Ovis aries: one gene and its partners. The protein of the gene in region 3 interacts with the protein of the main gene of each other region in a pairwise test. Links are inferred from orthologs where the notes say so. Each region holds a gene or a part of one and is shown on either strand. Other genes may lie near its edges. The genes, in order: SRGAP3, PGK1, DISC1, clusterin, GRIPAP1, EXOC7 and SYBU.

Region 1 (3,500 bases), on a different chromosome or scaffold from region 3:
CAAAGGGTAGAAACAGTCAACTGATGCATAAAATATGGTAAATCCCTATGATGGAATCTTCAGCCGTGAAGATATACCATGGATGAACCTGGAAAACAAGCGTGCTAAGTGAAAGAAACCAGTTACAAAAGACCACATGTTATATGACTCTGTTTATTTGAAATGTCCAGAGTAGACAAGTGCATATAGACAGAAAGCAGATTATCGGGTGTCAGGAGCTGGGGCAGAAAAGAATGGAGAGTGACTGCTAATGTACAGGGTTTCCTTTGGGGTGATGAAAATACTCTAAATTTAGATAGTGGTGCTGGCTGTATTGATACAATATTCTGGGAATATACTTTGATACAATATGTCTGAGAATACATTAGAAATAGACTTTCAAAAGTAAGATAACCAGGCAGGGCACTACAGAGCTACAGCGTAAGGGGACCTATAGAGGGGTAGGGACAGCATTGGTTAGAGAGGTCTGGAAGCTTAAGTTTGAGTTCAGGATTGTATGCTAATCAATCGTTTGGCTCTTGGACAACCTACTTCTCTTCAGTGTTCATTTCCTCACCTATAAAATGGATGAATTAAACTAGGATATCTTCAAGATCCTTTCCAGGTGTAAACTTTTATGAGTCCATGAAGGGCTGAAAATGGTCTCAGGGTCATAGTAGCCCCCTGGAAATGGGCCAAGAATATCAAAATTCTCTGTGGAGGCTGGGTGTGTGGCTGGTTCAGGGTATGACTACCAAAAGCTTATTGCTAGACATTTCAAGAATAAGTGGACCCCGAATAAAGGTCAGAAGAGATGTCTGAGGAGAGTTAAAAGGCTGACAATGGAGTGTCTCTGCTAAACAGGAGAACGTGATCTGCAGCAATGAAGGTTGAGAGTGCCTAGGTAGGAAGCAGCCTTGTTTCAAAGGAGGCTCTCTTCTTCCTCGGCAGTGGGACTCATCTGTCTGAAGGGGGCGAAGAGACAGCTCTCCAACCCAAGGACTCATTCTTGCTTCCTGCCCAGGAGGACCCAGGACAGAAGCAGCTTCCCAGGGAGGCGGTCCAGCTCAGCCTGGGTCAAGACTGCACGTCTGGCCGCCACACCCCACCTCACCTCACCACTCACATCCAGCCAGTGCCAATCACTTCATGCTGCCCATATGCAGGGACTGGTCTGGGTGCTGTAGACCCAGCCATGAACAGGGACCATTAAGCCCCTGACTTCACAGGGTACACTGGAAATCAGCGAGTTAGTAAAGAGGTAAAAAAATATAATTTAGGGTGGTGAAAAGTACTCATGAAAAAAACTGAGCAACCAAAATGTCCTTCAGTAGTTGAGTGGCTAAGTAACTGTGGTACATCCAGACCATGGAATGTTATTCAGCACTAGAAAGAAATGAGCTATCAAGTCATGAAAAGACATAGAGGAACCTTAAATGCATGTGACAGAAACCAATCTGAAAAGGCTACATACTATATGATTCCAACTATATGACATTCTAAGAAAGGCAGAACTATGGAGACATTAAAAAAAAAAAAAATCAGTGCTTACAACCATTACGTGGGAGAGCGGGATGAACGGGTGGTGCACAGAGGATTTTTCCAGCTGGGAAACTGCTCTGATACTGTAAGGATGGAAACATTTGTTCAAATCCACAGAATATACACCAAGACTGAACCCTTGGGTAAACTGTAGACTCTGGGTGATAGCAATGTGTCAGTATAGGTCCACCAATTATAACAAACGTACCACCTGGTAGAGGGTGGTGAGGGTTGGGGGGCAGTGTGTCAGGGTCAGGAGGCATGCCCAGAGTCTTTTTACCTTCCTTTCAGTTTTGCTGTGAAGCTAAAACTGCTCTAAAAAAGTCTTTTAAAATTTAAAATAATCACTAAAAATTGAATAAAGATTAAATAAATGGGAAAAATAGGGCAGAATAGAGCATGGGAAGGGGCAGGCAAGATGCTGGGGACACTGATGCATGTGACCGTGGCTAAGGACCCGAATAACGTTAAGAAGCAGGCCATGCAGGGACCTGGAAGGATGGCCTGCCATGTGGAGGGAAGGAGTCTGAGTCTAGAGGCGGGAGTGACCTGGCCTCTAAAGGCTGGACAGAGGAGCACCTCATAAAGGATGGGAACATGGACGAAGAGCCGGGTCGGGAGGGTTTCACAGGCCATCATCGGGGTTTGAGCAGCCTCTGGGGGATGTTGAGTAGGGGGCCCTGGAGGTGTGAGTTACACTCCGCTCTGGCAAACCCAGGAAAAGCCTGCAGCTTACCCAGCAGTGCTGTTGTCGGCTGCACATGTGTGGTATAAGGTGGAGCTCTCTGAGTACGGGGTCTAGATCCTACTCACCCAGCACGTGGAGTAAGGCATCCCAGGGCCATATGAGGGGCTGACTGCAGATACTGGCCGTGTAGAAACTCCCAAATCCCTCCCATCAGTGGCTTTGCCCTCACATCCATGTTTCCCTTCCTCCAGAGGCAGGCAAAATATTCTGAGAACAAGCTGAAGTGCACCAAGGCCCGGAACGACTACTTGCTGAATCTGGCAGCCACCAATGCGGCTATAAGCAAATACTACATCCACGACGTCTCTGACCTCATCGACGTGAGCTCCTGGGGAGCCTGCGCTGATGACCTGCCTGGCGAGAGTCATCAGCTGTGGGAGGGCTGGCCCTTGTTCTTTGCTGACGTGTGGGGTGGATGGTGGCCCTGGGAGCCCTGATGGGGGAGACAAGCAGGGAGCATTTGAGAGAGGAGTATCACCCCGTGGCTTCTACCTCCCCGAGTGGGAGTGGGCCTCTGGCGGCCCTTGCACATTTGGGCTGGGCAATTGTAGTTCAGTGTGCACTTTCCAGGCACACCTTCCTCTACACCAGGTCCTTTACTGGTTTTGGGGATAGAGGGGTGATTGTACACAGTTCATGCCCTGGGGACTTCCCACGATTGTAAAGACGGTTATATGTTCAGCACCCCTGGGGTTCAGTCCTCCAGACATAGGGAAGAAAATAATGAATGAGACAGAATTACGCAGATCAGCTTTACTTGGGGATGTTATGTTGGGAGAAATCAGGCAGTTGAAGTAAAAGGAAAATGGAACACTGGCTCCTGAGTGCCAGCTGTGCAGAACGCACTGGTGGGACAACCAGATTTGGGCAGGAATGCTGTGAGCACCAGGTTTGGGGCAGCTCCTATGTCAGCTGTGATGGAGCTGGAGTTGCTTGGTGTGTCTTCATGAAGACAGGTATCCGGCCCAGCAGGTGCTTGGTCAGGCTCTGTGAGGGCATCCTTTTCCTCTGGCCCCGGTGTACCAGCGGGCACTGCTCTTCCCTCAGATGCAAAGGGATGCATTAGTGTCATTATCACCACCTCCAAGAGAGGGAGCTGCCTGGCCCTGTCTTCAAATACCCACCATTCCTGCTTCCAAGGCAGGAACCCTCCTTTTTCCTCCCTTTCAGCTTGCTTTTTCACACAGCCCTTTCATTTGTTTATTTACCAAGTTTGTACTGAGTACCTGCT
Region 2 (3,500 bases), on a different chromosome or scaffold from region 3:
AAAAACCTCCAGCCTTCTTTGGCAGATTTACTCCTACCATGGAGCTAGAAAGGAACAGAGACATTCAAATTTTAGTCAATCCTTAGCAATCCTCCCAATTCTAGAGGCCTTCTCCTTATCACTAAAATACTTTCACTTTTGAGACTCCAGGACACCATGGTTTTCATCCCCAAACTACAACAAAACACCTAAGTACAAGATAAGGTTTCTGGCTAATAATGCAGGATAAAGGAGAACAAGTGAAAAGCAATTACCTTAAGTAGAATTTAAGATACCCAATTAATAGTCTTCAGACCAAGGGTTTAACCACAATAAATTATCAGCTGGGCGATGACAACAGGGAAGGATTCCTCAGTTTGCTTCCGACAGCCTAAGACTCTGCTCCCACAGCAATCACAAAGGGAGAGAGCTCTCCATGAAATATCCGAAGTAAGACAGAACAACATCTTCCTAAAGCTCAACAAAAGGTTCCACAATCCTAAACATTTTTTTACTTTTATTTCATCTTTATATCAGGGATACCCAACAAGAACCACAGTTTTATTTGTAGCTCCAATTAGAGATAGAATCCAAAAAGATCACAATACAACACAGAAATTTCCAAAACCATTCCAGACCTTTGGCTGTTTAAGTAAACAGAGAAATAACGCTCTCAGTTTGACAATGAACAAAAAACTTTTAGTACCTGTGGGCTCGGTGAGCAGTGCCAAAAGCATCATTGACATAAACATCCCCTAGCTTGGAAAGTGAAGCTCGGAAGGCTTCTATTTTAGTTGGCTCAGCTTTAACCTGAAGAGAAAAACAAAACAGGGAGACATTGATGATTCCAAAGAAACTGTAAAAGCATTTCATACCAAGAGTCCTCTTCAACATATCTAAAGACCCTGAGTTGGCAGGATAGCAATTTTCAAAACTAGCAACAGGATCTGGTCTTTCTTCCAAATATTCCAGACCTTTTGCTCATTTCTGTATGTTTTTGCTCTCCTTTGCCTTCCCTCAAATTGCAAGCCTAAGATTCCTGAATCACAGCTTAACCTCTAATCACATCCCACTGGTCTCTCTCCAGCTCCTAGGACAAAATACAAATTACCCTTCTCTCTCTTTGACTCACTGCTTCATTTTAACACATTCTCCTTGTAAAATTTAGGATACTTGAGTCAAGCTGCTAGCTGCCAAGACCTTTCTGCAAACGGAAAAAAGCTCTCATACATATTTCTCATGAAAGCAACAAGGACAAGCTGAGACAGAGAAGGCAGATGGAAACCTGACAACAGAACAGCACCTCAGAAAAAGGAGGTAATTCATATAGCTTTCCCTGGAAGTTAGGCATCTGAGAAAATAATACACTTCTACAAAAAAGATAGAGGGATAGAAAGTTGATGTCAAACATATGGCTTTGAATGTCAGCTCACTATCCAGGGATACTACCCTTTTCATAGGGGAAAGAAAGCAGGACAGCAGAATAAACAATGAGTCTCCAGTAGGAAACAAAGCAAAGATGCATAGAAAGCCAGATGAGGGGGATTATGGCAGAGAAGTGTCAAAGCAGATGTTTAGTCACTGTCCACTCTCATTCTCCTATACACTGAAGTGAAGGAGGCTGTCACAAAGAATGGGCTTTCCTCTAGTGGCCCAAAGAATACAGGGGCACTAATGCTAAAACTAAAGTGTAGAGCCCCCATAATCTCTTTAGAATGGAATATTATCTGCCAACGGTGACTGCAAGATGTGTAGTCATGAAAACACTGCCCAAATGGCAGGAGACCTGGGTTCTAGGCCCACGTCTGACACTAATTTTCTGTGTAACCTTTGTCAAGTTTTTCTCTATCCTTTCCTATCTATTAAAAAGGGAAGATAACTTCTCTATTTAAGAACTGTTCATGGGAAAATGACACAAATTAAAAGCTATCTATGAAAAAGGTATTATAAAAATTAATAATAATCAGAACCTATTTCTCATTTTTTATCTGCCAGGAACCAGAAGGAAGAGAATGCTCCTAAAAGATAATGCAGGTATCCTGCGTAAAGGAAAAATTTCATGCCTCACTTCGTTTTTTATTCACTTTGAACTTATGGCTGGTTCCAAAAATTTCAAGCATGAAAAGCCACTGAACACTAAATGTAAAGTAAACTACCCACAAAGACATAGACTAGCACAGTTGGTTCATCACTTACTGTATATAATGTTTTGCCTCAACTTGCTTCCTGCCATTTCTAAGCCCAAGAGTTGAACAGCTTGAGTTTCAGTCTAAAAGGGCACCAAATTTTAGGTCAGCATTTAACTTCTACTACTGTAGCAAGACCATGCCAAAGGCAAGATATGGCAAGACCTGAGCCTGCAGTGCTAAGAAAAGAAACTGCTTAAAAGCAGGCACTCTGATGACCTTAAGAAATGTCAGAAGCGTAACAGGAGATTGAGATGCTTGCCTCAGAGCATCTTGTTCCCCAAGATACTAAAGACATTAAGAGTAGAAAGTATAAAGGGTGATTTCTGATCCCCTTCTTATTTCTTAAGATAAGGAATGACAGGTACCTTCATATTTAAAAAAAAAAAAAACCTAGGTCTCAGAAAGGCAGTTATTTCTGGAGTTATTTCTCCACTGATCTCCAGTAGCATGCATGCCCAGTTGTATCCAATTCTTTGTGACCCTATCGACTGTAGCCCACCAGCACCTCTGTTCACAGGATTTCCCAGGCAAGAATACTGGAGTAGGTTGCCATGCCCTCCTCCAGGGGGGTCTTCCCCACACAGGGATTGAACCCAAGGTTCCTGCACTGGCAGGTGGGTTCTTTACCACTGAGCCACGTGAGAAGCCCAGCTTCCTTTCTATGAATAGGCAAATTCGAAATCATCCTCAAAAGAGCCAGCTCTATCATTTAATATTTAAATCCTGGTTGTCAGGTCACAGTAATCTACTTTGTAGGTACCTATGGTTGCCTTTTAAATTTTTTTTGGTTTTTTTCCCCTATGGCTGCTTTTGTACAACAATGGCAGAGTTGAACAGTTCCAACAGAGACCATGTAAGGTTGTGACTGACTGTCTGACCCACAAAGCCTAAAATATTTGTTGTCTGACCCTTTACATAAAGTTTGCTTATTGATGGACTGAGCTATATATAAAGCCCAGCAACAGTACTACTACTTCTAACCTTAGTCAAGTAATTACCTTTCTGAGACCTAGGTTTAAAAAAAAAAAATGAAGGTACGTGTCATTCCTTATATTAAGAAATTCAAAGAAAGATCCTTTACACTTAAGAAAAGTGCCTTAAACCCAAGGTAATATCATCATGACCATCATCTACCTAACTCAATCAAATGTTCCAAATAGTCCCTTTCCACTTGACTTACGAAAAGTACTTTTTCTGGTCACATGATTCTTTTATAAGAAAACCCCAATGATATCAAATTTAATTTACTGTCTTAAAAGTACCAAGCTCAAGCTTTAAGTTAATTCCCCTTCTAAAACTACAGATTATTCTTCCATAATACACTAGGGCCTG
Region 3 (4,143 bases):
TAAGGACCCACGCTGCAGTGGTGCAGTTTCCATGGTAATTTCTGATCTACAGAGAAGAGTTGACCAGGCATGCTGGGTCACAGAGTTATTTCTCAGAGTGTCCTCTGGACCTCCTGGGAGTCAGTAAGTGGGTCTTATGTGATAAGTCTATGCTAATATTTCACTCTCCCTAAGCCTTTAGATAATTCCTTTACAGTGTACCAAGGCAGTTCTGGCATTTCCACATCATTTAGTGCTGGTCACCTCTTGCCTCCCATTTCTGTCAACTAGCTAAGCAAACAGCTTGTTCTAATCTCACAAACTGCGGTGAATCCGGATCTCTGCTTGGTGGTGACCGTCATTACATTCAGCCTCATCCAATGGTTCCCCACACTCTTCATATTAACGCTCACATTCATTCTGTCCCACAACACTCCGACTTCTAAGCATATATAGGTGTTTTCACTCACATGGTCCTGATCTTTTGAACGACCTTGACTCTCCTGCAGTTCTAGGACGATCCTTCCCCTTCCTCCAGGGAGCCTTTCCGACCTTTCACTGCCTCTTACCGCCCCTCCTCCCACTTCTACAGTGTTTCATGACAGACTTTGGCTCTTGCATATTCTGCTGTACGTCATGATTTAGTTTTACACGCTCATGTTTATCTTCCCCATAGGAGGCCGGGGAAGCTCCTTAAGGGCGAGAACCATTTCTGGCAGGTGCGTCTTCAGAGATGCTCCAGGAGACTCCTGCATGAATACAAGAGGAGGCGAGTGGGCTGGCTTAGGAACTCAGCACGGATCGCAGTTGTGTCCTGGGCTGGCTGCCCAACGTGGGGAGGCGGATCTGGGGCCAGCCCAGTGCTGCCAGAAGATTCAAACAGTTGGATCCTCATTTCATGTAGAACTACTCGCCCCGCTCTCTTTCCCAGGGTGAGCTGCAGTCTCCCCTCATCCTCCCCCCGCCCCCCGCTCCTAGCGAAAAGAGTCCCTCTCACTCCGTCCAGCTCTTCCATCAACCCTGTGGTCACTTCCCTAATTAGTGTCTGGGAGGAACCCTCCCGTCCCCCAAGGAGGGCCTCCTAGTCTCTCCCTTCCCGAACACCCGTCCTCTCCACCGCACTTCCCCTCTCATTTTCGTCCAACACCGAGGGAGAGTGAAAAATAAGCTCTCCGAGGTCTGTGACCCAGGCTGCGGGCTTGCGCGCCCCGCCCGCCCCAGCCGTCCGCGTGTGTGTGTGTGTGTGTGTGTGTGTGTGTGTGTGTGTGTGCGCGCGCGCGTGCCTGCCCCGAGGCTGGAGAGGAAACAGCCGGTCCAGCCCGGGAGGAGGAAGGAGCCTCCCCTTCCTCGCCAGCCCCCTCCCCACTTCCCGTCCGGCTCGGCCTTTAGCTTCCCGGACGCGGGCCTCGGGTGCACAGAGCCCTCTGGCCGCAGCGGAGATGGAGAAGGCGGAGGCGGATCGGGAGGAGCCGGCGGGGCGCATGCTGGGCGGGGCTCCCCAGGGCGCCCCGGCCGGTGGCGGCAGGGGGCACCGCGCAGGTAGGGGTGCTGTCACGGCCGCCCGGCGGGTCGGGCCGAGGGTTCCTCGGCGAGGGTGAGCTCTGTCCTCTGGAAATCGTTTAGGTCCGGGGTGCGCCTCGGTTAATATCTAGGGCTTCTGCACTCTTGCGGGGTGAGGGAAACTGAGGCAGGGCGCGTGGCGTGCCGAGCTGAAGTCTTTGTCGGGCCTGGGGCTGCCCGCCAGCGCCGAGCCGGGCCAGGTCCTCCCGGAAGACGGTGCTGAGATCCCGGGAGCCGCAGTTCCCGCCCCCGTGGGTCCCGGTGGCCGAGGAAGGCGGCTTGAGCGCGCGGCTGGGTTTCGCTGCGCCCGGGGACTGAGCCAGCCGAGGCTCGGGGCTCCGCGCGCCCTCCCCTGCGCACTCGCCGGACAGGGGACGCCCCGCCGCCTGGTCCGGGAACAGCGTCCTGACACCTCGCAGAGTCTCGGGTTTCAGCACTCGAGGACCTGGAGGGAGGAGGTTGGGGTGGGATGGGGGACGCGGTGCTGGCACCGTCCCAAGGGGCTGCTCTGCGAGCAGTTTCACCTCCCACTTCCTCCGCATCTGTGATGCCCTCGGCTGTCTCGGAGCTGGAGCCGGGGAGCCCCGGTCAAGCTGTCAACGCTGTCAGCGCTCAGCGTTGACACTGAGGCCGTGAAGTGCACAGCTGCTTTGCAGGAATGGCAGGATGTCCCCTGCCATCTCGCTTTTAAAATACACGTGCAAAGGAGTTTGAGACTTTGGGATAAGAATGAGATTTGGAGTGAGGGAGTTATGTGTCCTTGCTGGACTGGAAGGAGGCGGGTAACTTTGACAGCTTCTTGAGTCTTCCCCGGTGGCTCAGATGGTAAAGCGTCTGCCTGCAATGCGGGAGACCCGGGTTCGATCCCTGGGTTGGGAAGATCTCCTGGAGAGGGAAACGGCACCCCACTCCAGTACTCTTGCCTGGAGAATTCCACGGTCGGAGGAGCCTGGTCGCAAAGAGTCGGGCACGACTGAGCGATTTCACTTTCACTTTAGCAGCGCTGAACCTCGGATTTCATCACATACACAAAAGAACGCTGGTAACCTCCCCCCTCCCCATCTCGTCTGGATATCTGCTGTGTGTGAAAGCACTTTGCAAAATGTATGGTCAGTTGGGCAGGCAAATGCGATTTGGGTAATACCAGAGCCTTAAGAGCTGGAGGTTGAGACAGTTAGCTTGCATCTCAACCCTGCACTTAACTGTGTCTTAGTTGCCCCATTTATGAAATGGGACAATGACAGTGACCTCATAGAGTCGCTGTGGGTTTGACTGTGGCCATGGATGTGAACACCCAACCTGGTGCTGAGATACGTAGTAAGCTCTAAATAAGAGCCTCAGATGCTCTTTTCACTAAGCAAAACCCAGTTAATTTGGAGTGGTGAAAAAAAAAAAAAAACACAAACAAACCACCACCAGTTTGATTTGATTATAGTATGAATGTGTGTGTGTGTGTGTGTGTGTGTGTGTGTGTGTGTGTGTTCAGTCGTGTCTGACTCTTTGCAACCCCATGGATTCTAGCCCACCAGGCTCCTCTGTCCATGGGTTTTCCAGGCAAAAATACTGGAGTTGGTTGCCATTTTCTTCTTCAGGGGATCTTCCTGACTCAGGGATCGAACCCTTGTCTCCTGCATCTGCAAACAGATTGTTTACCACTGTGCCATCTGGAAAAACCACATCTCTTGTAAAGTATGAATCAGCTCAGTTCAGTTCAGTTGTTCAGTCGTGTCCAGCTCTTGGCAACCCCATGGACTGCAGCACGCCTGGATTCCCTGTCCATCACCAACTCCCAGAGCTTCCTGAAACTCATGTCCATCGAGTCGGTGATGCCATCCAATCTCATCCTCTGTCGTCCCCTTCTCCTCCCACTTTCAATCTTTCCCAGCATCAAGGTCTTTTCCATTGTGTCAGTTCTTCACATCAGGTGGCCAAAGGATTGAAGTTTCAGCTTCAGCATCAGTCCTTCCAATGAATATTCAGGACTGATTTCCTTTAGGATGGACTGGTTGGATCTCCTTGCAGTTCAAGGGACGCTCAAGAGTCTTCTCCAACACCACAGTTCAAAAGCATCAGTTCTTCAGCACTCAGTTTTCTTTATGGTCCAACTCTCACCTCCATACATGACTACTGGAAAAACCATAGCTTTGATAAGATGGACCTTTGTTGGCAAAGTAATCGCTGCTTTTTAATATGCTGTCTAGGTTGGTCATAGCTTTTCTCCCACGGAGCAAGTGGCTTTTAATTTCATGGTTGTAGTCACCATCTGCAGTGATTTTGGAGCCCCCCAAAATAAAGTCTGACACTGTTTCCATTGTTTCCCACCTATTTGCCATGAAGAGATGGGACCAGATGCCATGATCTTAGTTTTCTGAATGTTGAGTTTTAAGACAACTTTTTCACTTTCCTCTTTTACTTTCATGAAGAGGCTCTTTAGTTCTTTGCTTTCTGCCATAAGAGTGGTGTCATCTGCATATCTGAGGTTATTGATGTTTCTTCCAGCAATCTTGATTCCAGCTTGTGCTTCCTCCAGCCCAGCATTTCTCATGATGTACTCTGCATAGAAGTTAAATAAGTAGGGTGACAATATACAGCCTTGACGTACTC
Region 4 (3,500 bases), on a different chromosome or scaffold from region 3:
TTGACAAAAGGGGAAGCATCCCTGACTATCCCCCATCTCCTGCCACAGCTCGAGGAGTTCCTAAACCAGAGCTCCCCCTTCTACTTCTGGATCAACGGTGACCGCATCGATTCCCTGATGGAGAATGATCGGGAGCAGAGCCATGTGATGGATGTCATGGAGGACAGCTTCACCCGGGCGTCCAGCATCATGGACGAGCTCTTCCAGGACCGGTTCTTCCCCCGGAGGCCCCAGGACACTCAATACTACTCCCCCTTCAGCTCGTTCCCAAGGGGGTCACTCTTCTTCAATCCCAAGTCCCGCTTTGCCCGGAACGTGATGCCTTTCCCCTTGTTGGAACCCCTCAACTTCCACGATGTGTTTCAGCCCTTCTACGACATGATCCGCCAGGCCCAGCAGGCCATGGACGCCCACCTGCAGAGGACTCCCTACCACTTCCCCGTGACGGAATTTACAGGTGAGAAGGAGGGGGATGAAAACTCAGTTCTTTGAGATGCTTAACCTAGTCACACAGGCTGTGATGCTGACGAGACGTACGAATAGCTAAGGAGCTAAGGAAGTGTGGAGGGAGGGAGCCTTAGATGCTCAGATCTGTGCCCAGGACTTGGCCTGTATCGTCTGAATCCCCCAAAGAGCAACCTGGGGAGGGGGCTACCATCCCTGTTTGACAGGGAGTGTAGGAACATGCCCAAAGGTTCACAGACATCCCTGTTGGCTCAGCTGTAAAAAATCGGCCTGCAATGCAGGAGATGTAGGTTTGATCCCTGGTTTGGGAAATCCCCCGGGATGGTCAAATCTAGCCCTACAGGACTTGTAACTCTGGTATTCTTTTGAATTTTCCAGGCTCCTTCCAACAACTGGTGGGCATGACACTATTTCCTCTAGGGTAGGGATCCCCAGCCTCTGGGATTTAATGCCTGCTGATCTGAGGTGGAGCTGGTGTAATAGTAATAGGCATAAAATGCACGATAAATGTAATGCTCCTGAATCATCCTGAAACCATCCCCCACCCACCCCCTCCCTGGTCCATGGGAAAATTGTCTTCCACAAAACTGACCCCTTGAACCAAAAAGGTTGTGGACCACTGCCCTTGAGGGCTAGACCCCTTTGTCTTGGGAACTCAGGTGCTTTATATGGATGCCATGCATATATTGGCAATGAATTATATAATCAGCTCACTGTACAGTTAAGAAAGCTGTTTGTGGCTATAACCTTAGGGTCTGGTAGAGAATGGGCACATAGCGAGTATCTTTTGAATGAATGAACTCTAACATGGACACGAAAAGCCGAAACTTTTAGATGTGATTTCTTTCATTGAACCAATAGACTCTGGTTGGCCAACCCCATCGCCTAAATGCTACGGCTGGGCCAGCACTGGGTTCTGGCTTGTAATGGATTGGAAGTGCGGGAGGGTGCTGACTTAAACAGGTTTCCCTGGTGGCTCAGTGTTGAAGAACTCACCTGCCAATGCAGGAGACGTGGGCTCAACCCCTGAGTTGGGAAGATTCCTTGGAAAAAGAAGTGTCAACCTGCTCCAGTATTCTTGCTTGGAGAAGCCCATGGACTGAGGACCCTGGCAGGCTACAGCCCATGGGGTCGCAAAAGAATCTGACACAGCTTAGCAGCTAAACAACAAATTGACCTGAACAAGCATTTCCTGCATATCCATAAGGTTGAGAGGGGTGGGGTGGTGGTGAAGTGAAGTGAAGTCGCTCAGTCGTGTCCGACTCTTTGTGACCCTATGGACTGTAGCCCACCAGGCTTCTCCATCCATGGGATTCTCCAGGCAAGAATACTGGAGTGGGTTGCCATTTCCTTCTCCAGGGGATCTTCCCAACCCAGGCCCTGTGTTATAAGGAGGTTCCAAGGTAAATCTTACTCCTGCCTTCAAGGAGCTTGCTGCCTGGCCAGGGGGAGAGAAACAAGACAAGACAGAATGCAGAGCAAAACGGGTTATGATACCAAAGAGAAGTACACACAGCTAAGGGAGTGTGGAGGTGGGAGAGGTGTCAGCCGGTGAAGGAGATGAGAGGGTGGCCATGCCCAGCTCAGGGGGGCCCGGGAGCCACCTCCTGGTCCCACTGCAGGGAGTCTCGCTGCTGGTCCGAGCCTGGAAGACCAGCGGTCTTCAGGCAGACAGCCAGATGCTAACCTGCTCTGCCCGCAGAATCATCTCAAAGGGCCTGACAGTGGTGTGGAAGGGCCCAGAGAGATGGGGGCAGCCCATGTTGCTCTGTGTGACTTGTCCCCGTGTGTTCCCAGAAAACAACGACCGCACTGTGTGTAAGGAGATCCGCCACAACTCCACGGGATGCCTGCGGATGAAGGACCAGTGTGAGAAGTGCCAGGAGATCCTGGAAGTGGGTGAGTCAGGGGCCCCCTGGTCTCCTGTGTCTTCAGGTCCCCAGCACCTCACTGGGGTTGCCTTGAGGGGCTCAGGTGGGTGGGAGTTTAATGCCAGCTCTGCTGCCTTCCAGCTGTGGCTTTTAGGTGAGGGGGACTGTCCTTTGCTCGGCTCTGCCTGGATCCCCATCTGGGGTTGAGGGTTAAGATGCAGAGTTGTCCCTGAGGTCAGGAGACAGAATACTTATCACATCAGCTCATGGTTAACAGGCTGACTGTGGGAGCGGTGGCTGTGCTTTCTACAAAGCTGTCATCCTGTGACTTCCTCCAGTTAGTCTATTCCCAGGGGTCAAACCTAGTATACGTCTTCTTTTTTGGCTGCAGACGAAAATTTAGAAAGTATGTTGTTGTTGTTCTGTTGTTTTGTCGCTAAGTTGTTTCTGACTCTTTGCAACCCATGGACTGTAGCCCACCAGGCTCCTCTGACCATGGGATTTCCAAGGCAAGAATACTGGAGTGGGTTGCCATTTCCTACTTCAAGGGATCTTCCCAACCCAGGGATTGAACTCAAGTCTCCTGTATGGACAGGCAGATTCTTTACCACTGAGACATCGAGGAAGTGCTTCAACAGCACGGAGACTATTAAACTCTTGCCGTGTGTTTGTTACTAAATACCCTTCTTCTCAACACTTACAAACATTTACTCTTCTCCCTAGAATAACGGGTGGCTGCTTTTCTTACAGAGGAGGAGACTGAGTTAGAGGTTTGATGACCTGCCAAGATTACTGGATGCCCCTCCTGAGGGGATGTTTGGGAGGTGTTCCCCACCAGGGCTGCTGTGTTCTCTGCCCTGAACATATGGTCTCTCCTTGGGGTACCTTCGCTTTCTGGCCACCTTCCCTGTGGTTGGTTGGTCCCTGAGTTAGAGGAAATAGCTCTTTTCCGCTGTTGCTTTCTGTTTTACCAAGGGGACTGAATTCTTTCTATTTGGAGGTCAACAGCTATAAAAGCAGTTGACACACAAAACTTCCTGGCTCACAAAAGTCTATGCCTGGAAGGAAGGAGTTAATTATTTCCCTGTACTGAGTGAATCGATCCCGGTTGGTGTGTCGGGGTTGTGGGGGGGAGGTGGTAATGATGTTTGCTTTGCATTTAAT
Region 5 (3,500 bases), on a different chromosome or scaffold from region 3:
CAAGCTGGAGCCAGTTGTTTGCCTGGGTTTGAATCCTGGCTAGGCTGCTTTCTATTATAGTTGTGTGGCCTTGGACAAGTTATTTACTTCTCTGTGGCCGGTTCTCAACATCCATAAAAAAATGATAACAATAATACTTGCTGTCTAGGTACTATGGGAGGGTTCTATAAAATGAGGTAATATATATAAAGTCCCAGGTGGCGCTAACGGTAAAAAACCTGCCTGCCAATGCAGGAGACGAAAAAGATGTGGGTTTGATCCCTGAGTCAGGAAGAGCCCCTGGAGGAGGAAATGGCAACCCACTCCAGTATTCTTGCCTGGAGAATCCCATGGACAGAGTAGCCTGGTGGGCTAGAGTCCATGGGGTTGCAAAGAGTTGGACACGACTGAAGCGACTTAGCATGCACAGCATTCCTGGCATTCAGTAGTGCTGTTATGTTTTATTAAATAAGATGTAAATGCAGATGTTGGTCCTCGATGTGACACTCCTGCATCCAGTGTTCCCTGTGGGAGTGTCTTCTCTGCACACCCAGGGGCCCCCTGCAGTCCCTTACCCTCCTCACTGGGCGTGATGTTCTCTGGGGGGCTGTGTTCAGACCTGGGACTTGTCTTGTAGGAATCTCTGCAGCAGCAGCAACAGGAACAAGAGGAAGCCCTCAGGCAGTGTCAGGAGCAGCACGCCAGCGAGCTGAAGGTGCCTATTGTATGACGGCATTTCTCTCTGGTGGGAGGACTGAGGTTTCCCAGGCCTTGGCCTGAGCTGCCTTCTGCTTTGCAGAGCAAGGAGGAGGAACTACAGGGTGTGCAGGAGCAGCTCCGACAGGCCCAGGAGGAGCGGGACTGTCACCTGAAGACCATCAACAGCCTGAAGCAGGTCCCTGGTCCCTCCTGAGCCCTTGAAACACCCTGGGGATCAGCATGCAGTGGTGGGGCAGGGAGGGAGCACACTACAGGCGGCCATGCTGGCACCCGCAGCCACGCTGTCTCTCTCCCACAGGAAGTGAAGGACACCGTGGATGGGCAGCGAATCCTGGAAAAGAAGGGCAGTGCTGCGGTATGACAGCACATGCTTGGGAGGCTTTCACGCGTGGCCCACTCCTGCCCTGTGGTGCCCCCACCTGTGGGCCCACCAGGCCTCAGCCCCCCTCTTTCTGCCTTTCCCCACAGCTCAAGGACCTCAAACGGCAGCTGCACCTAGAGCGGAAACGGGCAGATAAGCTGCAGGAGCGGCTGCAAGACATTCTCACGAACAGCAAGAGCCGCTCAGGTGAAGGGCCCAGAGCACAGGGGAGGCTGAGGTGTGGGGAGGCATAGCCTGGGCCTGAAGGCTGGGGCCGCTTCCTGTACTTCATTCTGTAGAGCACTCCTGTGTGTTCTGTCCGTCTTGAACTTTCTTTTACCCTTTCTCTGCATCTCTCCCTCCTCTGTTTCTCTCTCTCTGCATTCTCTCTCTGGGCTCTCCCTCCTTTTTGCTGTGTCTCTTCTGTTTCTATCTCTGCCTCCTCATTTCATCTCTATCTGCCTTTCTCTCCCAGCTTTCCCTCTCTAGTTCTCTCTTTTTCTCATCCTGGTCTTTTCTTCTCTCTGTTCCTTTGTCTCTCTCCCTCCTCAGTCTCTCTCATCTGTCTTTGTCTCTGTGTCCTCACGACCCCTCATACACCCCCACACCTCACCTAGTATCTCTCAGTCTCTTGTGTTCATTCTCTCATTCTGTAAATATGGACTGAGCCCTCACACTCACATCTGGGGTCCCTGATAGGACCCCCCCGCCCCAAGTCTCAGTCCTCCAGAAGTTTCCTGTTGAGCTGGGGAGACAGACTTACAATCAGGTAGCAGAACTACCATGTGATTCTTATGCAGTTAAAGTCTACATTATTTCTGCCACTTAAGGCAGAAGATAAAACAGAAAAATTTGAGTTGCCTCAGACTTTTTTTTACTTTAACAAAGAAATGGCCTAAAACTGTGTTTAAATAAATAAGTTGCAGTGATGGCTCTGGTGTAGTTCCTGTATCACAAGTGAGAGAAAACTTGCTGCCTGTCCCTCCCCAGCCACCCTGCTCTTGCTGGAGATCCTTGGCTTGTTGTGTCAGCCCCTCTCCCTGACACTCAGAAGCAGCTGCAGGAACAGAGGCACATGCTTAGTGGCTGTGTTTCAAATGATCTGTCAAAAACGGGTGTGCTGCTGCTACTGCTAAATCGCATCAGTCGTGTCCGACTCTGTGCGACCCCATAGACGGCAGCACACCAGGCTCCCCTGTCCCTGGGATTCTCCAGGCAAGGACACTGGAGTGGGTTGCCATTTCCTTCTCCAATGCATGAAAATGAAAGATGAAAGTGGAGTCGCTCAGTCGTGTCCGACTCTTAGTGACCCCATGGACTGCAGCATACCAGGCTCCTCGTCCATGGGATTTTCCAGGCAAGAGTACTGGAGTGAGTTGCCATTGCCTTCTCCAAAATGGGTGTATTTCTCACCAAATCACTGTCTCACTGAGGGACTCAGTCTCCTGAAGTTACCTCTCATTATAAGGCAGGACTTTTATTTCTTTCTGTTGCAAGTTGGTGTACAAATCAATAAACAGATTCAAACTGTGTGCCATACGTTCTATTTGTCCATTAGGAAAGTCAGATTTGGGTGTATGCCTATGAGTCTATCGCCATCTTTTCTCTCTGTGTCACTACTCTGACTTGTGTCCTAAACCAGCATCTCTGTTAGCCTCTATCATCTGCTCTGGCTTGCTGTCTGTCTGGGGTCTTTTCTCTGCACGTGCAGGTGCCCCTGTGCCCTCTCCAGCTATGGTGTATCTTGAGTCTGAGTGCATACGCCAGTTTATGCCCATTTGTGCCTGCATCGCCTCTTTCTCCCCATCTTCACCTTTGTTTCACTTCTGGTGTGTGTTTGCCTAGAGAAACAGCTCTTTTTTCTGTTTCTGCCTTTCCCTATCCTACTGTCTGCATCATGCCTGAGTGTCTCTTTGCCTCTCTCCATCTCTGTCAAATCTATTTCTGCCTCTTCCTGCCCTGGGACCCTGGGGGATTGGGGCTCAGATTTCTCTTCCCTCTCTGCCCAGGGCTCGAGGAGTTGGTTCTCTCAGAGATGAACTCACCAAGCCGGACCCAGACTGGGGACAGCAGTAGCGTCTCCTCCTTCAGCTACCGCGAGATCTTGCGGGAGAAGGAGAGCTCAACTGTTCCAGCAAGGGTAAGGGGCAGGGAAGAACCTATAGCCCCAGCTTCTACCCAGATTCTGGGCCCAGCACACATATATTCTTGTCAAGTTTTCCTCAAGCTCACAAACTTGGATACAGATTGCTAAATGGAGGATGAACAAATTATTTTCTCTGACCCTCTGTTTCATCATCTCTGGGCTAATTCTACCTTTCCTGGTGCCATAAAATACGTGGCTCATAGTAGGTGCATTATCCATGTAGGAGATCCTTTCTTCCCCCAATTCATAGTTATCATTTATTATTGTCTATGTCAGCTTCCTTGCCAGACCCTT
Region 6 (4,014 bases), on a different chromosome or scaffold from region 3:
CCCAAACCTTCTCACCCACCAGCATATGCTTCACTGTCTGTCTTCCTGTATCTGGATGCCTCAACAAAGCTGTGCAGCCACTTACCACCCCAGGGTGAGACCAGAGGCAGGGTGAGCCTCTGCAATGGAGGAGGGAGTAATACTAGGTTTTGCAGGAGCTGTGTCTGTGGTGAATCTAGAACATTCATCCCTGCAGGAACCCTGACCCAGGGCCACCTCCCCACCCCTGGCTGGCCCCTAATTAGAGGAGACTCTGGGCAAAGGAGCTGAGATATTTTGGCCTCTTGCAGGAGGGTCCCTACCAGCCCTCCAGGCCTTTCTGATGTCCTCAGCGGCCCTATGAGAAACGCTCCCCTTGTGTCTGAGCACCAGCAGATAGGCCTCAGCGTCTCCATCACTGAGAACACCACCTGGGTTCTAACCCCTCGGACAGGTCTGGACTTTTTCAGCCTTCCCCTTGCACTGTTTCCAGACCTGGGCAAATACACCGCTGAAGCCACTCGCTACCCGCGGCCTGGCCCTCACCCCCAGCAAATAAAACCATGTCTCTCTTTCCAAAACAGACACCTTAGTGTGGCGCTTGGAGCTTCTCTCTGGTCCCATCCCAGTCCCCGGGATGAGTGCTCCCAGAACCCCTCCTACCCCAGGAATTTGGCCGAGCCCCTCACAAGTCGGGATTGTAGTTATGGATGCCTCTGGGGCCATGGGCGACCATTCTTTGCCCGGGCCAGGGCTTGCACACAGGGCGCATTCCGTGAGAGCTTTTAGGGCCGAAGGGGGACACGACTACATAGGTCCCTCGGTCATTAAATGAGCACACATTAGGCGCCTGCTGTGTGACAAGCTCTGTGCTGTGCTTTGCGGGGGAACACCTCATCTGTGCCTGGATCCAGACAAACGAATTTGTTATTAATCTTTGTGAAAAGAGTCAGCCTTCCCACGAAGACGGCAAGTGAGCTGTAACTGTTGTGCCAGCTGCGGGACAAAACACCCCTAGAGAACCTTCTCTGATGAGTGCGGCAACACGCATCAAGGTGAAACCCGGTGCACCTCCCCGCCACACCCAAGATGGCCACCTGCCGGGTTCCCCTGTCCCTGAGTTCCACGCAGGCGCACTTCCGCCTGCCACTCCCAACATGGCGGCAAACGGGCCCCCGGGAGGGGGCCACGGGCGGAAGTGGGTGTGACAGGGACGGGAGCCGAGAGGGCTCTCTGAAGCCAGACGCTGGGCTGTGGGAGCCGCTCGGCTGTGGGAGCCGCTCGCAGGGAGGGTCGAAGTCATGATTCCCCCGCAGGAGGCGTCCGCCCGGCGGCGGGAGATCGAGGACAAGCTGAAGCAGGTGGGGCTGGGGAGGCGGGGGAGGAGGTGAGGGAAGGGGCCGAGATCCGGGCCGGGCGTCCACTCAGGGAGGGGAGGTAGCAGGAGTGGAGGGGGCCGGGTACCAGGCAATAGGGTCCGGGCGAGGCTGTGGAGCCGGGATGCGGTGGTCTCTGGCTTCTGCTGATGTCCTCCCCTCCCCCTCGCAGGAGGAGGAGACGCTGTCCTTCATCCGAGACAGCCTGGAGAAGAGCGACCAGCTCACCAAGAACATGGTGAGTAACCCCTCGCTGGGAGGGCCTCCAGACGCTGCGACCCAGGGGTTTGGTACCTAAAGCCTGAGGCTTCTGGCCTGGGTGGTGATGGGTGGTAACGTCTGGGTTTCTCTAGCAACAGTGTTACACTTCTTACACCCTTGCCCGCCACTTCGCTGAGGATGCGGCAGCCTCCCCACATTTCTGCTTTCTGCCTAAGTTCTCCATTCTTCTTTCTCTCCTTCCGCAAACATTTAGTGAGACTGACTTAAGTGGGCTGGGTACTGGCCATGGGTCACCCTTAGTTTAAGTGCGGGTATCACGGGTGGGGTTACCACTTCTGAGATTACTGAGGGCAGGAGACTCAGCCGTCACTCTGGAGAGCTGGAGGGGTAAAATGAATCAGAAATCAGATAGATGCGGGATCTAGCCCTTGCCCCTCCACTTATGTGTGTGTGGCTCCTGACAGGTAACGCTGAGCCTCAGTTACCTCCTCTGCTAAAATAGACGATGCCAATCTCCATTGTAGCTGTGAAGGTCATAGAAGCTAATGCATGGAAATGCCTCTTGCACAGTATCTGGTATACAATAGGTACTCAATAAACATGAACTTCCTTTCTTATTCTGAAAAGAGCCTGGAAAACCCAAACTGAGTAGTAGATAGAAAGGTGGGTATGTATTCAGTAACACAGTCATCAGGTGCTAGTCCTTACTTAATGAGATTTAGCCTTAGAGAGAGGGGGTTTGAAGGTACCAGGAATGCTGGTATAGAGTACCTTGAGGCTACTCTATATGAAAGTAGTTCCTGTTCAGTCTAGGAAAGCATCAGGGAGAACATAAGTTGAGATCTGGCTTTAAAGGGTGGAAGGGAAGCCATCCTGAGGTGATTTTCTGAGAAGTTAATGTAATGGTTGCCTCGCCTTCAAATCAAACTTCAGCCAATTTATTTGGGCCACCTCCGATCTGCCAGGCATGTGGTAGATCCTGGGGATACAGTGGGGAATAAGTATACCCTGTCCCTCTCCTCTTGGAGCCTACTGTCTAGAAAACCAGAGAAAAGGCAGCAAATGCGAAGACCTGGCAAGGGGCAGAAGCAGTGCTGGGACAACCCTGAGGCCTGAGAGCACGGGGCTTCCCCCTGTAGGTGTCTATCCTGTCATCCTTTGAAAGTCGCCTTATGAAGCTGGAGAACTCCATCATCCCCGTGCACAAGCAGACGGAGAACCTGCAGCGGCTGCAGGAGAATGTCGAGAAGACCCTGTCCTGTCTGGACCATGTCATCAGCTACTACCACGTGGCCAGTGACACTGAGAAGATCATCAGAGAGGGGTGAGCTCGGACCAGAGGGTCACATTCCTAACGCCTCTTGGACCAGTAGGCTTTGGAAGCGGGGTAGAATATATATGAGCCTAGAGTCCCCTGTGTTAATTCTGTTCACCATTTCCAAATACCATTCCCTTAGTCCTTCCTATTCATCTTCCATCTGCCCGGGCTAATATGGTTCTTCTCCTTTCCAGGCCTACAGGTAGGCTAGAGGAGTATCTGGGAAGCATGGCCAAGATTCAGAAGGCTGTGGAATATTTCCAGGACAATAGCCCAGACAGCCCAGAGCTCAACAAAGTGGTAAGGGGCCAGCAGAGTGATGTGAGAGGTTGGGAGACACCAATCCCTGTCCGGGTCTCATGAGACACTGAACCAGCTAAAAGATAATATAGTCGAATGAAGAGAAGTATATAGTACCATGCACATACTACAGACATTGAAATGTCTGTTTCAGAAATTACAGGTCTACATTTTGATTGCATTTTAATAATTTAGCTAAATTATAAGTTGTTGTTTAGTTGCTGAGTTGTGTCTGACTCTTTTGTGACCCCATGGACTGTAGTCTGCCAGGCTCCTCCGTCCATGGGATTTCCCAAGCAAGAATACTGGAGTGGGTTGCCATTTCCTTCTCCAGGGGATCTTCTCAACCCAGAGATCTCCTGCATCGGCAGGCAGGTTCTTTACCACTGAGCCAGCAGAGAACACACATTACAAGTTACCTATGAAATACAGATTTAACATTTGATTTTTATAAATGCATGGGTATTTTTTATTGTACTGAAAAATAAATAATATAAAAATTACCATTTCTGACCATCTTTAAGGGAACAGTTCAGTGACATTCACATTGTGTAACCATTGCCACCTGGCTACACAGAAAACTGCAGGATCAGTACACTGTCACACTAGTAACCCAGAGGGGACACACCACTATAACCACTATACTGCAACCCATCAGTGGGCAGCCTAGACTCAGAGATTGGAATGTCAGGGGTTGGAGAACTTTGTTCTTGAGGATCTCTACCAAGTTCAGGTCACAGAGTGAAGAGCTCTGTGCTAGAACTTGGGCGTAGGGGTGGGCTAGAGAAGAAGACAAAAAAATATACAACTCCAGGTTTA
Region 7 (3,500 bases), on a different chromosome or scaffold from region 3:
TTTTTAATCCTCCTAGCTACACTTGCCTGGAAAATCCCATGGACGGAGCAGCCTGGTAGGCTGCAGTCGATGGGGTGGCCAAGAGTCGGATACGACTGAGCGACTTCACTTTCACTTTTCCCTTTCATGCACTGGAGAAGGAAATGGCAACCCACTCCGGTGTTCTTGCCTGGAGAATCCCAGGGACAGGGGAGCCTGGTGGGCTGCCGTCTACGGGGTCGCACAGAGTCGGACACGACTGAAGCGACTCAGCAGCAGCAGCAGCAGCTACACTTGACGAGGCTGTTATTATTATTATCCCTCAAATTTAACGAGCATAAACTTTTAGTTCAGAGAGGTCAAGAACTTTAGGCATATAGGCACTTCGCTAGAAGCAAGAGGCGTGCCGCCCTGAACTGGTTTTCTGAGTTCGAGTGAGGCGTCGCCAGAGCCGCGCGCTGGGCACTGACTCCCGGCGGGCGGGCGGCGGTGGTTCGGCGCTGAAGAGGGGGCAGCCCGGCTTCCCAAGCCAGCCGTTCCCTCCCTGCGGCAGCGCCGCGCCGCCAACGCCAGGCCCTTCTGATGCAAACCGCCTGAGGAGGAGCGCAGCCTCCGAGATCCTGGAACCCAGATGCTGTGTTAGGCCTGCAGCACTGGCTTGCCAGGGGTCCGGGTGGAGGGCGGCCCACCCCCTTTCTCCGGCGAGGTAATTGTGCGGGAAGCTGGACGCGGACAGAAAACCTGGAGGGCAGGGAGGGGCCGCCAGGCAAAACTTTCCCTTAGTACAGGTTGGCTCTCCGTGATGTCACAGCTCTTCTGGGTTCTTCTCTCCCACGTGCACCCCTTTCGAACCCCATACCAGGTGCCCAAAGGGGGGTGTTGGGCTTCTCCGGGCTGAAGATGCTCCGAGCCTCCGTCCGCGACCCCTCTTAGGGTCGGGCTCGGCAGAGCGGGAGAGGCGCGCTGATCTGGGAGGAGAGCCCGCGGCCAAGTCGGGCAGGCGGGGCGCGCCGAGGAGCCTTGTCGGGGGCCGGCAGGTGAGGGAGGTCCGGGAGAGGGCGGCGCAACAGCAGCCGCGGTGGCACCACGTGTCCGGCCGGGGCGGGGCGGCGGGGCGCGCCCTCGGAGCCCAGCGCCAGCGGCGGCGGCGGCGCGTCGGCCCCGCAGCAGCGGCCGCCCGCGGCGCGCTCCGGCTCAGCGTAGTCTCCTCGCCCCCGGTGCCCGCAGGTGCCACCTCCTGGACGGCGGCAGCGGCGGCGCGAGGAGCCGGCAGGCGGCAGCGCGATGGGACCCCTTCGGGAGACCAAGGTAAGGAGGGCACGTCCGGAGGGCTCGATGGCTGTGTCAGCGAGCGCCGGAGGGAGAGGAGAGGTGGGCACTGCGGGGAGGGACGCGGATCAGGTGAGAGCTGGAGGGATGACCTTTAGGATTGCGGTGGACGGGGACGCAGAGGTGGCGGGCGCAATAAGAAAGCAGGGGACTGTCGCCCAGGTGATGAGATCCGAGGCCCGGGAGATGGGGAGGTAGTACGGTGTTTGGAGGGTTGACACTGAGGATTAAAAAAATGGACTCCGAAGGGTTAATCCCATTCCCTGAAATTGGAGATTGGGGATCTAGCTCTCAATCGTCGTCCTCCGTGTGTGATGTGACTAAAAAGGATTTGATATACTGGTGACTGAGAAATAAGAACTCCAGCATTGGTTCTGGGTCCGCCTGGTGCCCAGCGGAGCGGCTGGCGTGTGATACCTGCCGGGTGACAGCACAGATTCCAGGCTGGGTGCGGCTCTCGCCCCTGGATAGGGCGGGTGCCTGAGCGACCTCGGGAGTTACCCGCGGCTGGGACTTTCCCTTCAATTCCTGCACTGTGAGGGCCTCTCAGAGGTGTTTACTTTGGCAGCGACCCTTCCTGGTAAGCCGCGTGGAAATGAGCAGGAGGTCATGTTTCCACAGTGTTCGTTACCTAATCCAAAGCCCTTTTTCAGTTGCAGAGGTTGGAGGGAGCGGTGGGTTTTTTTCTGCAGAGAGCCCGTCCTGGGAGTCCATTTTAATAGGGAAGGGTGGGGGTGACCCCGACCGACCAGCTCTTGACTGCAGGCTCCCGTTTGCTTCTAGGTGATGTGCAGCAGTCTTGGCTGAGCATCTCTGCCTCTTTTAGCTTCAGTTTCCTCATCTGTAAATAGGGACGCAAATTAGTGTGCTCTCCGTGGCCTCTGTTGTCGGAAAGATTAAACAAAATGATGGCTGGCAAAGCACTTTAAAAATGGGAAAATATTACTGAAATAATGCTTTGGGGCATTTTCAAAGCCCTCTGCACTTGATGCTGTGTTTTGAAGGAGAGAGAGAGGGAGAAAAAATGTCTTCATTTGAGTGTCCTGTAAAGAAACAAAAGCTAAACATGATGAGAAAGGCGGAGCCATCTTACCCGGTATTGAATTTTTGTTTGCTTTTCTGTTGGCAACAAGCCTTGTGTACCAGGATATTAATGAATAATTAAAATCCTGGCCGGAAGAGGGGGTGCATTTGAAAGATAAGGCGCATGATCTATCTAGGGAAACTGTTTCAGGTATAGGGGTCTGCTTTGTCAGGAGACAGGAAAACAGAAGTCAGATTGTCACAGCTAATTCAGGGAAAGCAAAATGGAAGTCTGGAGGAAATCAAGTAATAATCAGAGTGTGCTGCGAGTTATAAAGAGCCTTTGAGAGAGCTGAAAGCTTGAATGTGCTAGGAAAAGCCAGAATGGCAAGGTGAGTTAGACATGAGAGAAAGGAATAGCCTTCCTGCTAGCAGCTGAATGTGTGTGTGTGTGTGTGTGTGTGTATACACATCCATGCTGTAGCGTGTGATCTTCAATAAATTAGAAGGCTTAGCTTAGTAGGAGAGTTTTGGAGCTCATTTTAGATACTGAAACAAGGACTGCTCTGTGAAGATTTAATATTCAGAAATGTGGCTCCGCAGACACTGAGCCCAGAAGGAGCAGACTGGAGTTGAGAGGGGGCAACAAGTGTCCTTTTGTTTTCTCTCTGATGTCCGATTTGGAGAAGGAGCTGAGAGTACAGCATCATGAGAAGGAGATTGCCCGAAGCCGGATTCCCCGTTTGATTCTTCGGCCCCATCTGCCTCAGCAACAGCACAAGGTGTCCCCAGCCTCTGAGTCTCCTTTCTCGGAGGAAGAGAGCAGAGAGTTCAACCCCAGCAGCTCTGGGCGCTCAGCGAGGACCGTGAGCAGCAACAGCTTCTGCTCAGGTACGATACCCACGGGAACGAAGGCAGGAAGTGAGTACGCTGCGGGTGCGTTGTGAGTGGACCTGGAACGGGCCCCTTAGAGTCTCGGAGCAGATGTCTGTTATTAGGATGAATAGTACGAGGCTGCATCTTTTTGACTCTTTTAACCTAGGGATACAGCAGTTTCGAATGGTTCAACCCGATGGAATTTCATACCTGTTTTTATGTTATTCTAGGTGATAATTTTCTATGTGAAATCTTAACTTCTTTTTTCTATGACTGTAAAATATATTTCTTGG

The links.
Region 1: the proteins of DISC1 (region 3) and SRGAP3 interact in a two-hybrid assay, tested with the Homo sapiens proteins (2 studies listed by BioGRID and IntAct). The link is inferred for Ovis aries from reciprocal best matches to the Homo sapiens genes DISC1 and SRGAP3.
Region 2: the proteins of DISC1 (region 3) and PGK1 interact in a two-hybrid assay, tested with the Homo sapiens proteins (2 studies listed by BioGRID and IntAct). The link is inferred for Ovis aries from reciprocal best matches to the Homo sapiens genes DISC1 and PGK1.
Region 4: the proteins of DISC1 (region 3) and clusterin interact in binary tests that used the Homo sapiens proteins (3 or more experiments, as listed by UniProt). The link is inferred for Ovis aries from reciprocal best matches to the Homo sapiens genes DISC1 and CLU.
Region 5: the proteins of DISC1 (region 3) and GRIPAP1 interact in binary tests that used the Homo sapiens proteins (3 or more experiments, as listed by UniProt). The link is inferred for Ovis aries from reciprocal best matches to the Homo sapiens genes DISC1 and GRIPAP1.
Region 6: the proteins of DISC1 (region 3) and EXOC7 interact in a two-hybrid assay, tested with the Homo sapiens proteins (2 studies listed by BioGRID and IntAct). The link is inferred for Ovis aries from reciprocal best matches to the Homo sapiens genes DISC1 and EXOC7.
Region 7: the proteins of DISC1 (region 3) and SYBU interact in a two-hybrid assay, tested with the Homo sapiens proteins (2 studies listed by BioGRID and IntAct). The link is inferred for Ovis aries from reciprocal best matches to the Homo sapiens genes DISC1 and SYBU.

The regions. Positions count from the first base shown.
Region 1 is NC_056072.1:17,480,469-17,483,968, forward strand, and holds part of SRGAP3 (SLIT-ROBO Rho GTPase-activating protein 3), read left to right. Parts: intron 1-2,460; coding exon 2,461-2,589; intron 2,590-3,500. UniProt on the Homo sapiens protein: GTPase-activating protein for RAC1 and perhaps Cdc42, but not for RhoA small GTPase. May attenuate RAC1 signaling in neurons.
Region 2 is NC_056080.1:69,217,830-69,221,329, reverse strand, and holds part of PGK1 (phosphoglycerate kinase 1), read right to left. Parts: intron 790-3,500; coding exon 686-789; intron 45-685; coding exon 1-44. UniProt on the Homo sapiens protein: Catalyzes one of the two ATP producing reactions in the glycolytic pathway via the reversible conversion of 1,3-diphosphoglycerate to 3-phosphoglycerate.
Region 3 is NC_056078.1:3,813,906-3,818,048, forward strand, and holds the start of DISC1 (disrupted in schizophrenia 1 protein), read left to right. Parts: upstream 1-1,343; 5' UTR 1,344-1,418; coding exon 1,419-1,518; intron 1,519-4,143. UniProt on the Homo sapiens protein: Involved in the regulation of multiple aspects of embryonic and adult neurogenesis. Required for neural progenitor proliferation in the ventrical/subventrical zone during embryonic brain development and in the adult dentate gyrus of the hippocampus.
Region 4 is NC_056055.1:102,020,630-102,024,129, reverse strand, and holds part of clusterin, read left to right. Parts: intron 1-48; coding exon 49-457; intron 458-2,262; coding exon 2,263-2,364; intron 2,365-3,500.
Region 5 is NC_056080.1:56,106,882-56,110,381, forward strand, and holds part of GRIPAP1 (GRIP1-associated protein 1), read left to right. Parts: intron 1-616; coding exon 617-694; intron 695-778; coding exon 779-874; intron 875-997; coding exon 998-1,054; intron 1,055-1,167; coding exon 1,168-1,267; intron 1,268-3,069; coding exon 3,070-3,200; intron 3,201-3,500. UniProt on the Homo sapiens protein: Regulates the endosomal recycling back to the neuronal plasma membrane, possibly by connecting early and late recycling endosomal domains and promoting segregation of recycling endosomes from early endosomal membranes.
Region 6 is NC_056064.1:54,905,202-54,909,215, forward strand, and holds the start of EXOC7 (exocyst complex component 7), read left to right. Parts: upstream 1-1,214; 5' UTR 1,215-1,280; coding exon 1,281-1,340; intron 1,341-1,527; coding exon 1,528-1,593; intron 1,594-2,716; coding exon 2,717-2,901; intron 2,902-3,089; coding exon 3,090-3,195; intron 3,196-4,014. UniProt on the Homo sapiens protein: Component of the exocyst complex involved in the docking of exocytic vesicles with fusion sites on the plasma membrane.
Region 7 is NC_056062.1:67,666,375-67,669,874, forward strand, and holds part of SYBU (syntabulin), read left to right. Parts: intron 1-1,125; exon of another isoform or gene 1,126-1,206; 5' UTR 1,207-1,263; coding exon 1,264-1,287; intron 1,288-1,672; exon of another isoform or gene 1,673-1,888; intron 1,889-2,934; exon of another isoform or gene 2,935-3,002; coding exon of another isoform or gene 3,003-3,017; coding exon 3,018-3,222; intron 3,223-3,500. UniProt on the Homo sapiens protein: Part of a kinesin motor-adapter complex that is critical for the anterograde axonal transport of active zone components and contributes to activity-dependent presynaptic assembly during neuronal development.